3 linked regions of the Macaca mulatta genome follow. The protein of the gene in region 3 binds, or shares a complex with, the protein of the main gene of each other region. Links are inferred from orthologs where the notes say so. Each region holds a gene or a part of one and is shown on either strand. Other genes may lie near its edges.

Region 1 (3,793 bases), on a different chromosome or scaffold from region 3:
AAAACGGACAGCTAAAGAGAAAACTTCCCTTGGTGATGGGTATTAGATTTTACAAGAAGAGGCCAAAGGAGACACATACTTATGCCTGAAGAACTTTCCAGAGATAGCATTGCATAGTGAAACAGCCTGAATTATTTTTATTTTTAAAAACATTTTTTATTTTTATTTTTTTCTGAGGTAGAGTCTCACTCTGTCACCCAGGCTGGAGTGCAGTGGCGTGATCTCGGCTCACTGCAATCTCCGCCTCCCGGGTTCAAGCAACTCTCCTGCCTCAGCCTCCCAAGTAGCTGGGATTACAGGCATGCGTCACCATGTGCCAGCTAATTTTTTTTTTTCTAGTTTTAGTAGAGATGGGGTTTCACCATGTTGGCCAGGCTGGTCTTGAACTCGTCACCGCAAGTGATCCACTGCCTTGGCCCCCCAAAGTGCTGGGATTTCAGGCATGAGCCACTGCACCCGGCCAAAAATTTATTTTCTTTAAGATGAGGCCTCTGTTGCCCAGGCTGGAGTGCAGTGTCACAATCATAGCTCACTGTGACTTTGGACTCCTGGGCTCAAGCAATCCTCCTGCCTCAGCCTCTCAAGTAGCTGGGATTACAGGCACCCACTCCCAGCTAATTCTTTTAAAATAATTGTTTTTAGAGATGAGGGTGTCTATTTGCTGCCCAGGTTGGTCCCAGACTCCTGACAGGCTGCATTTTAATCCTAGCTCCACCACTTAGGGGAGTCAAAATTCAAAACGCAGAAAAGGGCATATACGCTGGGCGCAGGGGCTTACACCTGCAATCCCAGCAATTTGGGAGACTGAGGTGGGCGGGTTGCTTGAGGTCAGGAGTTCGAGACCAGCCTGGGCAATGTGGGAAAACTTGTCTCTGCTAAAAATACAAAAATTAGCCAGATGTGGTAGTGCACACCTGTAATCCCAGCTACTCCGAAGGTTGAGGCAGGAGAATCCCTTGAACTCAGGAGGCAGAGGTTACAGTGAGCAGAGATCCAACACTCAACTCCATAAAAACAAACAAACAAACAAAAAGAAAGCAGGCTGGGTGTGGTGGCTCACTAATCCCAGCACTTTGGGAGGCCAAGGTGAGCGGATCACCTGAGGTTGAGCATTCGAGACCAGCCTGACCAACAAGGAGAAACTCTGTCTCTACTAAAAATACAAAATTAGCTGGGCTTGGTTGCACATGCCTGTAATCCCAGCTACTCGGGAGACAGAAGCAGGAGAAGTGCTTGAACCTGGGAGGCGGAGGTTGCAGTGAGCCAAGATCGTGCCATTGCACTCCAGCTTGGGCAACAAGAGCGAAACTCCATCTCAAAAAAAAAAAAAAAAAAAAAGCAAAGGGCATATAGTGAAAAGCTTTCTTCCTACACATGAGTATTCACTTCCTCTTCCTAGAGGCAACCAAGGTTATCTGTGTGTGTGTGTGTGTGTGTGTGTGTGTGTGTGTGTGTGTGTGTGTGTTTTGAGACAGTCTCACTCTGTCACCCAGGCTGGAGTGCATTGGTTCGATCTCACTGCAAACTCTGCCTCCCAGTCTCAAGCGATGCTTGTGCCTCAGCCTCCCAGTTTTTTTTTTTCTTTTTTTTTCTTTTTAAACAGGGTGTCATTCTGTCGCCCAGGGTGGAGTGCAGTGGCACGATCATAGCTCACTGCAGCCTCGACCTCCCGGGTCAGGTGATCCTCCCACCTCAGCCTCCGGTGTAGCTGGGGCTACTGGTATGCACCACCACACCCAGTTAATTTTTCTTAGTCTCGTTCTGTCACCCAGACTGGAGTGCATTGGTGCCATCTCATTTGTTTCACAGCAACCTTTGACTTCTGGGCTCAAGCGATCCTCCCACCTCAGCCTCCTAAGGCGGCTAATTAAAAAAAATTTTTTTTTTTAGAGATGGGGTTTCGCCATGTTGCCCAGGCGGATCTCGAACTCCTGGGCTCAAACAATCCTTCCACCTCGATCTTTCAAAGAGCTGGGATGAGAGATTTCCACCATGCCTGGCCTCAGTTTCTTTCTTTTTTAATTTTTTTTTAGACGTTATAACTCTTTTTAATGGCCTCATTTTGTTATGTTTAATTCGAGAAATATTCTTTTCATATACAAAGAATATATTTTCTCTCCCTTTAAAAACAAATAGTAGACTGTTTAATACCTTGCTTTATTCAGTTAGTGATGTTTCTTAGATACGGTTCCAAATCAGTATACAAAGCACTTCCTCTTCCTCTCTTCCGGCTACATAGCAATCCACTGAATGGGTGAGCTATGAGCTATTTAACCTATTCTTTATTGATGGACATTTCGCTTTGTATATACATTTGTAATTCTGATATATAGTACAAATCACCCTCCAAAGAAATTGTACTGGTTTCTTCTCCTACAATGTGTGAGAGTTGGGTAATTACTTAATCTCAGTGTGTGAGTCTCAGTTTCTCTATCTATAAAATAAGCAAAACAGTGTTGACAATATCTATTTCTTGGAATTATTGTGGAGATTACTGAGATGATGCATGTAAAGTATTTGGCATGTAGGAGTTGGTGCTCTCCAAATAAGGATATGATTTTATTTGTATTTGTGAGCCACTGTCCCAGCCAGGTAAATGGATATGATGAGACCTCCTTACCAGACTGGGTTTCTCTGATTAGAATGAGGAGCAGATGTTGCAGGAAATTAGCAATTGAGATCAGAAGAGCTGTGGGCATTCTCTTGCCAGAGGTGCCATGTCTCCAAGGCACCTCAGCCTCTCCCATTTGTCTTCTGCTCCCAGGTCCATCCAAGCTGAGCGATCGTGCTGACTCAAGAAAAAGCCTTTGGGACCAAGGATGCTTTTCCATGATCATCAAGAATCTTAAGATAGAAGACTCAGATACTTACATCTGTGAAGTGGAGAACAAGAAGGAGGAGGTGGAATTGCTGGTGTTCGGATGTGAGTGGGGCAGGTGGGGACGAGGATACCTCCTGGCTGGTTCTCTTCCCCACTACTCCCACCCCTGCACCAAATCCAGCCTGAGCTGGTGATACCGCAGCAGCCCCAAGAGGACCAGGCTGTCAAACTGGCCTCCGAACTCTTCAAAGCCCTTTTGATTAGGTGGAGGATGGTGGTGGGCGGAGGAGGGAAGAGGCCTTGGGAAAAGGAAAGAAAAGGGAAGGAAGCAAGGGAAGGAGAGAGAGAGACTGGGGAAGAGAGGATGAGGGGAGAGGAGGAAAGAAGAGAGAGAGGAGGGGAGAGGGAAACCCTGTCTTGGCTGGGGGTGGGCAGCTGGGTGCTGGGAGGAAGGAGATGTTGGGATGGAGATAATGGAGAGATGTTCTTGGTTTCCTGTCCTCTGCCCTTCTCCTTGGGGATGGTATGTGTGTGACACAGCTGGCCTTTCCCTCCACAGTGACTGCCAACTCTGACACCCACCTGCTTGAGGGGCAAAGCCTGACCCTGACCTTGGAGAGCCCCCCTGGTAGTAGCCCCTCAGTGAAATGTAGGAGTCCAGGGGGTAAAAACATACAGGGGGGGAGGACCCTCTCTGTGCCTCAGCTGGAGCGCCAGGATAGTGGCACCTGGACATGCACCGTCTCGCAGGACCAGAAGACGGTGGAGTTCAAAATAGACATCGTGGTGCTAGGTAAGGGAAGCCCCTCTGCCCGCAGTCTCCTCCCTGCCCCGGAGGCTGACAGCCCCTCCCTCTGCTCTCACTTCCCTGCTTCTGGGTCTGGTGCTGGGAGGTCAGGAGTGGAGAAGGCTAGGTCCCCTAGAGCTGAGGCCATTCTTGAAGGACTCACTGGGACCCTCATTATCAGGGGG
Region 2 (3,793 bases), on a different chromosome or scaffold from region 3:
CTCAGGACTCGGTTTCCCACCACTTGGATAGCCCTTGACCTACAGTATCAGGGCTCCCCTTGGCATGGGCTCTCCCCGCGGTCCGTGCCGCCCCCGCCCCGAGCCCCCGCACGCCTCACCTGAGCCCCCCGCCGCTGGCCGGCACGCCTCTGGGCGCAGGGACAGGGGCTGCGACGCGGTGGTGGGCGCCGGTGTGGGGGGTCGCGGCGCTGGCGTAGTGGTGGGCTTCGCTGCAGGGGCAACAGAGCGTGGTTGGGGGCCAGTCTGGGATTATGGACGCGCCCCCGCCCCGGCCCCAGCCTCGCGCGCCTTTGCCCACGGGAACACCTCCCCCCGGTTTTCCTGGGAGAAGGGATGGCAGAGGAGACGGGATGGGTACCCCGGAATGCGCGCGGACCCCTGTGCTCGGGCCTTGGCTTAGCCAAGCGCACGCGGCGCCCGGCCCGAGCGTAGGAGCCCGCTCCCCTGCACCTGTCCTCTCTCCCGGGCAACCAGCAACCCTGGAGCGCGGGTTGATTGCTGTCCGCATTTTACCCACGAACAAACGGAGGCGTAGAGAATTTAAGTCATTTGCCCAAAACCACACAAGCATCCGAACTCGAGCCCAGATCGGCCGGACGTAAAACACTATTCCTAGTCCCTACTCAGCCGCACGTTAGCCTCAGTTTGCTGTGTCTGTGAAATGGGAACAATATCTAAGTCTCTTCCAGGTGCCCTAAGAGGCTTGAAAGCAGGACCTGTGTGTGGAAAACAGGTTGAGGTGAACCCCAAGCCCCACGCGGAGAGGTGCCGCACCCCGCGCCCGGACCTGGCAGGAAGACCGGCACGAAGTGGCTGAAGTACATGATGGAGTTGCTCAGGGCCGAGCAGAAATAGTAGCCCTCGTTCTCTTGGCGGAAGTCACGTAGGGTGAGGACGAAGGTGTCCCCCAACCTCTTGCCCGAGAACCGCTGGGTGTCCAGCCCCTCCGCCGCCTTGGGCTTGTTTTGGGAGAGGTATAGGAGGAAGGTGGGGCGGGCGGCGGTGCCGCGCGGCTGGAAGAGCCACGAGCAGCCCGACGTCGGGTTGGACAGCAGCACCTGGCACTTCAGCTCCACCGTCTCTCCCAGGTTCCAGGTCCGACCCAGCGGCGACACTCGGAACTGGTTTGGCCTGGCGGCGTCTGCAGGCAGCAGGAAGCGAGGCTGAGCCCCGAGTCCCGCGCCCCCCGCCCGCCCCATCCCCTGCCTTTCCGGGGGTCGCAAACTCACGGAGCAGCAAGACCAGCGGCAGGAGCAAGGCGGTCACGGGTGGGGCCATGACGCGCTCCCCAGGACGCGGCTCGGCTCGAAGCTCGGGCGCCACGGGAGGCGCGCGGGAGCCGGTGGGGAGCGGAGGGGGGGAAGTTGCGCCCTTCGGCCGGCCTGGAGCCTGATTTCGCATTTGGAGGATGTGATGTCACCCGAAGCCCCCGCCGAGGAAAGTCACCCTCCTTTTCGCGGTTGTCGCCTTCCAGCCCGGTGAGGAGGCTGGGGCCTGTGAATGGGCCCGTCGAGGCAGCCTGGTCAGGCAACTGGGGGCAGCTGAAAACTGCAGGTTCGGGGATGAGGAAAAGGGCTTGGAAATAGTCCCTGGAAATGGTTGTGTTAGGAGAGTGACAGAGTGGGTGAAGGGAGATCAAAGATTTCAAGAAGTGAGGGCGAGAGTCGGCAGGAAAGGAGGGGAGTGTCCCTTCCTTTGCCTTCACTAAAGGCGTCTCTTATACTGTCACCCTTTTTGTTGGCAAAATGGGCACTGAGGGCTGAAAAGGAAGAGGAGCTAGCCACCTGCCCGCTTCTCAGGAACTCGCGCAGAGCAGCCCCAGTGTTCACCGAGGAAGGGCCCTCTCCCTTCCCCCAGGAAATTTCCATGAGGGCGGCAGCAGCCGAAGCTTTGGGTGGCAGTGTCAGTGCGCTGCTGACCTCATCCTTCCGGCCTTTCATCCAGCGGCTAAACTCACCAAACAGTCGCATCTCTTCTTGGAGTCTTTGCAACAGCCCCCACACTAGTCTCTCTCCTGACCAGTCCTCCAGCCACGTTGTTATAAAAATTATTATTCTCATAAAGGGGATCTAACAGCGTCACTCCTGCAGCCTCCCATGGCCTGCATTGCTGGATGGAAACTCAACCCTCAGCTTGGTTGACCAGCCCTTGGGTGCTGGCTCCTCCCAGCCTCCGCACAGCCCCCTGCCCTGCCTTTCCCAAACACCTGCAGCTGCAGCTGCAGCTTCACAGGCTTGAGGTTATTCAACCCCTGCGCTCTGTGCTTTCACGCCCTTGCACTTGCTGTAGATCTGCCTGGAATGCTGGTCTGTGAAAGCCCTGGAGGCAGCTCCTGTGCAGTCTCATTTGGACCTCATTTCTTTCACCCCCAGCTCTGGGCGCTCGGCGGGGAGGTGTGGGTGACGTGGGTGAATGCTTGGGTAGAGGCAGTTTTCTCTCTTCTGTCCCTAGCACACATGTGTCCCCTTCCTTTCTGTTTCTTTCTTTCTTTCTTTCTTTTTTTAAAGACTGGAGTCTCGCTGTTTTACTCAGGCTGGCCTTGGGACTCCTGGGCTCCAGTGATCCTCCTGCCCCAGCCTCCTGAGTAGCTGCGACTACAGGCTCATCCTTCCTTTTTGCCTGTTTCTGTCCTGAAACCTTCTAACCCCAGTGGCATGCCCTCTTCCCATTTCTTCCGGGCTTCTGAATCTTTCCACTTTGAATCCCACTGTGGCTGCACCTCACATTACTACTGCTTGATCCTAGAGACAAGACACCTGGCATTCTGTGTTCCAAATGTCTGTCTGCCCCACCTATGAGTTCTGCTGGGTGAGGACCATGCCCCAGACTTCATGATGTGTCCTCCATCCCCAGAAACACAGCATGGGCTGAGCTGTGCTTGTTGAACTACACTCTCCTTATCCTTGTGAGGCCCAAACTTAAGTGTTGGATGGTTTTCTGTTGTTGTTGTTGTTGCTGTTGGTTGGTTGTTTTTTTGAGATGGAGTCTGGCTTTGTTGCCCAGGCTGGAGTGCAGTGGCACGATCTCGGCTCACTGCAGCCTCTACCTCCCAGGCTCGAGTGATCCTTCCACCTCAGCCTCCCAAGTAGCTGGGACCACAGGAGCGCACCGCCATGCCGGGCTGAGTTTTTGCATTTTTGGTAGAGATGGGGTTTCACCATGTTGCCCAGGCTGGTCTCCAATACCTGAGGTCAAGTACTCTGCCCCGCCTTGGCCTCCAAAGTGTTGAGATTACAGGTGTGAGCCACCATATCGGGGCCTGGATGGGCTTTTTTTTCTTTTTTTAATTATTTGGATTTCAGTACCTCCTTCCAGCTCCCTCAAAGCATCCAAGATGCTTATTCTAACATGGAACATGTAACGTTTTATATTCTGAAATTTAAAAAAATGTCTTTTAAGTGACAACAGCGCAATATATTATTGTACAAAAACAAACACAAAGTCCCCTGTCTCAACTCCCATCACTGTCATCTGCTCCCCACAGAAAACCACTGTTACGGTTGAATGTGTCCCTCAGATATTATCTGTACCTAAACAGATGTTTATACATCATCTTAGACACGTGGGATTGTATAAGATATGTATTTTTGCAAGATATCTTGTTTCACAGTGGAAGGAGAGCTTTCAGCAGATGTAGATCCACCTCATTCTTATAAATGGGGGCATTTTATGTGGGTGTTCCATAATGTAATTCTGCTGTTAGTGGACATTTAGGCAATTTCTCATTATTGCAACACTAGCAAGGCTGTAGTAGATATAATGTATCTGTATC
Region 3 (3,793 bases):
GAATGGTTTTGTTTATTTATTCATTTAATTAATTTATTTAATTTATTTATATTTATTTTTGGGATGGACTCTCACTCTGTCGCGCAGGCTGGAGTGCAATGGCATGATCATGGCTCACTGCAACCTCTGCCTCCAGGGTTCAAGTGATTCTCCTGTCTCAGCCTCCTTAGTGGCTGGGACTGCAGGTCCCACCACTACGCCTGGCTAATATTTTTGTATTTTTAGCAGAGGTGGGGTTTCACCATGTTGGCCAGGCTGGTCTCGAACTCCTGACCTTGTGATCTGCCCACCTCAGCTTCCCAAAGTGCTGGGATTACAGGCATGAGTCACCGTGCCCAGCCCCTAGAGTGCTTTTAAACAATTTGACTCGATCGCCAATAAATGGAAATGAACAAATTTTCCTAAAACTCCAAGTTTTGGCTTCTCTTAAAAAAAAAAAAAGATCTAGTTTTTCAGGTCCCCCACGCCTTAATTGCAACCATCTGCTGGAGCAGCTGCAAGTTTACCAAGGTCCCCATTTCTCCCCATTGTCTCCCTGACCCTAATGCTACATGTCAGTTTCCATTTATCATCATGCTTTCACTGCCTATTTTCTTCTAATAGATACATTCCCTATGGGTTTCCTTCTGTGGGAATAGGCGAGGAGCAGTGAGGACCCCTGGCAGGATAACTGGAGAGTATTTCCATATTTCCAGCTCCAGCACTACCCCTGGACTCTGGGTTGGGGCAAGCCCAGGGCAGGGAAGCCCCTCAGCTTTTCACCTGTCTCCAAGGTGTTTTTTTGTTTTTGTTTTTGTTTTGAGACGGAGTCTCGCTTTGTCGCCCAGGCTGGAGTGCAGTGGCACGACCTCGGCTCACTGCAACCTCTGCCTCCCAGGTTCAAGCAATTCTCCTGCCTCAGCCGCCTGAGTATCTGGGATTACCGGTACGCACCACCAGGCCTGGCTAATTTTTAATTTTGTTTTTTTTAAGTAGAGATGGGATTTCACCATGTTGGTCAGGCTGGTCTCAAACACCTGACCTTGTGATCCACCAGCCTCGGCCTCCCAAAGTGTTAGGATTACAGGCGTGAGCCACCACATCCGGCCTTCCAAGGTGTCTTTACCTTCCTTGGAGCAAAGGTCTGTTCACCTTACTCTGGGGATGTGGGACGCTTCTACAAATTTAGCCACTGTGCCGCGCCTCCCTACTCCGTTGTCTTTGTGCTCCATTTCCTCTCCCCAGAGTTTCTTAGCAAGTTCCTTTCAAAAAATTCCATCCCTGTCTTGGCTGAATTCAGGGGTAAAGGGCTTTGTCCAGGAGATGGTGAGGGAGTCAGTGTATACTGACAACCTACTATGAGTCAGGCTCTTTCACAAATGGTCTCTCATTTTTCCTTTTTTTTTTTTTTTTTTTTTTTTTGAGACAAGTTCTCTCTCTGTTGCTCAGGCTGGAGTGCAATAGAACGATCATGGCTCACTGCACCCTCAACCTCCTGGGCTCAAGCGATCCTCCCACCTCAGCCTCCCAAAAAGCTGAAACTACAGGTGTGTGCCACCATGCCCAGCTAATTTTTAATTTTTTTTTTGGGGGGGGGGAAGAGATGGAGTCTCTCTTTTTCTTTTTTTGAGGCAGGGTCTTGGTCTGTTGCCCTAGGCTGGAGTGCTATGGCATGATCTTGGCTCACTGCAACCTCTCCCTCCCTGGCTCAGGTAATCCTCCCACCTCAGCCTTCTGAGTAGCTGGGACTACAGGCACATGCCACCAAACCTGGCTAATTTTTGTTTTTGTAGAGATGGGGTTTCGACCTGTTGCCCAGGCTGGTCTCGAACTTCTGGGCTCAAGCCATCCTCCCACCTTGGTCTCCCAAAGTTCTGGGATTATAGGCATGAGCCACTGTACCTGGCCTAGTCTCTTATTTTTAATATCAGGAAACTGAGACTCAGAGAAGTGAAGTGACTAGTTCAAAGTGATGATTGATAATAGCTTAGTATTGACCAAGCACTGTTCTAATCTCATATTAGAAATGAGAACAGATGGGAAAGAAGGAATGATCTGAACAAAGCCAAACAGAAAGTTAGCAACAGTGGCAGATCTGCTAATAAAAGGTAGGCCTCTTGTTTCTGAGCTAGATCCTCTTCTACCATACTAGGCTGCCTGGGCCACAACTAAAGAAAAGAGCTGGGGCCGGGCGCGGTGGCTCATGCCTGTAATCGCAGCACTTTGGGAGGCCGAGGCGGGTGGATCACGAGGTCAGGAGATTGAGACCATCCTGGCTAACATGGTGAAACCCCGTCTCTACTAAAAATACAAAAAACTAGCCGGGCATGGTGGCACGCACCTGTAATCCTAGCTATTTGGGAGGCTGAGGCAGGAGAATTGCTTGAACCCAGGAGGCAGAGGTTGCAGTGATCCGAGATGGCGCCACTGCACTCCAACCTGGGCGACAGAGCTAGACTCCACCTCAAAAAAAGAGAAAAAGAAAAGAGCTGGGGTTATTAAAGAGAGATACAGAGATGGAAGCCAGCTCTGGGAGATGTGGCATCTGCCTTGGGATGTTGGAGTCATACCCCTGAAAGGATAGAGGAGATGCAACTACAAAGTTTCAGATTCTGAGACTGGAAAGAATTGAGTGGGGAGACATGGACTTGCTGCCCTTCCCATCACCCTTTCAGTTCCTGCCCTTGGCTCTAACCTGGGTAAGGGATGCGGCCATGGGTGACAATTTCCGTCAGCAGGATCCCAAAAGACCACACATCCGACTTGATGGTGAATGTCCCATAGTTAATGGCTTCTGGCGCTGTCCACTTAATGGGAAACTTGGCTCCTAAGGAGGAGGCAGAGTGAGGTCACCTGGGTCTGCTTGGCTAGACCCTGCAGGGCCCAGATCACCCTTAAATCTCACACTTACCCTCCCTGGCTGTGTACTCGTTGTCTTCAATGAGGCGTGCTAGGCCAAAGTCTGCAATCTTGCAGCTCAGGGTGTCAGACACCAGAATGTTGGCAGCCCGAAGGTCACGATGAATATAATTCCGCTCTTCAATGAATGCCATGCCTTCTGCAATCTGCAGGACAAACACAGATCAGCAATCCTGAGCCAGATGTCTTCACGCCACTGGCCTGTGCCCTTGCCCAGCCCCTCCCCAGTCTTCTTACTTGGGCTGCCATGTCCAGGAGTTTGTTGATGGTCAACTTGATGCCTGAAGAGGTCTTGAGAAAATCCACTAGACTCCCTGTGGGCAGAAGCAAGAGTTGCTGGCCTAAGTTGCCCCAGGAGGAGGTCCCCAGACCCTTCTCCCAGACCCTTTTCACATGTCTGGAAGTGTGTCTGACATGTGAAAAGGAAGAGTGAAGAGTGAGAATGGAGGAGTGTGTGTTCAGGGTAAGGATGCCCAGGATATGTGAAGGTTTTTTTGCAGAGGGAGGGGCTAGGGTAGAGCACGCTGGGAGGGATCTGTAGGTTTTTCATCATCAATAAGGTAGAATTCAGACTCCTCAACTAGTATCCAAAGCTTGACATGGGCGACACTGGTAGCTTCTTCTCTTTCCCTCACTCTGCCTTTGACTTCAAACACTTTAACAATTTTGAGATCCTGCACTCAGACTACTAGGCTGTCACCCCAAAGCCTCTTTATTTCATCTCTGCCTGCTAAAAAAAATTCTACTTTTCTTTCATGGCCCAGTTAGACTGCCCCTCTAGGAAGCCTCTCTAGATCTTAGCAGGCATAATAAACTGGATCATCATCTACACTCCCATGGGCATGCTGGAACTTTCCCATGGCACAAACTCTGGTTTCCCCAGTACCTGTAACTG

The links. The genes of interacting proteins can lie anywhere in the genome.
Region 1: the proteins of LCK (region 3) and CD4 are in contact, whole or in part, in an NMR structure (PDB 1Q68), measured with the Homo sapiens proteins. The link is inferred for Macaca mulatta from reciprocal best matches to the Homo sapiens genes LCK and CD4. Residues at the interface, in NP_001036236.1 of Homo sapiens: Glu15, Ile17, Val19, Cys20, Asn22, Cys23, Tyr25, Pro26, Ile27, Val28; in NP_000607.1 of Homo sapiens: Ala429, Arg431, Ile435, Leu438, Leu439, Lys443, Thr444, Cys445, Gln446, Cys447.
Region 2: the proteins of LCK (region 3) and CD8A are in contact, whole or in part, in an NMR structure (PDB 1Q69), measured with the Homo sapiens proteins. The link is inferred for Macaca mulatta from reciprocal best matches to the Homo sapiens genes LCK and CD8A. Residues at the interface, in NP_001036236.1 of Homo sapiens: Cys20, Asn22, Cys23, Tyr25, Pro26, Ile27, Val28; in NP_001139345.1 of Homo sapiens: Arg212, Arg213, Val214, Cys215, Lys216, Cys217.

The regions. Positions count from the first base shown.
Region 1 is NC_133416.1:7,776,528-7,780,320, forward strand, and holds part of CD4 (T-cell surface glycoprotein CD4), read left to right. Parts: intron 1-2,764; coding exon 2,765-2,923; exon of another isoform or gene 2,924-3,085; intron 3,086-3,380; coding exon 3,381-3,614; intron 3,615-3,793. UniProt on the Homo sapiens protein: Integral membrane glycoprotein that plays an essential role in the immune response and serves multiple functions in responses against both external and internal offenses.
Region 2 is NC_133418.1:26,243,633-26,247,425, reverse strand, and holds part of CD8A (T-cell surface glycoprotein CD8 alpha chain), read right to left. Parts: intron 1,516-3,793; 5' UTR 1,423-1,515; coding exon 1,251-1,422; intron 1,163-1,250; coding exon 809-1,162; intron 231-808; coding exon 120-230; intron 1-119. UniProt on the Homo sapiens protein: Integral membrane glycoprotein that plays an essential role in the immune response and serves multiple functions in responses against both external and internal offenses. In T-cells, functions primarily as a coreceptor for MHC class I molecule:peptide complex.
Region 3 is NC_133406.1:208,598,363-208,602,155, forward strand, and holds part of LCK (tyrosine-protein kinase Lck), read right to left. Parts: intron 3,213-3,793; coding exon 3,136-3,212; intron 3,045-3,135; coding exon 2,891-3,044; intron 2,807-2,890; coding exon 2,675-2,806; intron 1-2,674. UniProt on the Homo sapiens protein: Non-receptor tyrosine-protein kinase that plays an essential role in the selection and maturation of developing T-cells in the thymus and in the function of mature T-cells. Plays a key role in T-cell antigen receptor (TCR)-linked signal transduction pathways.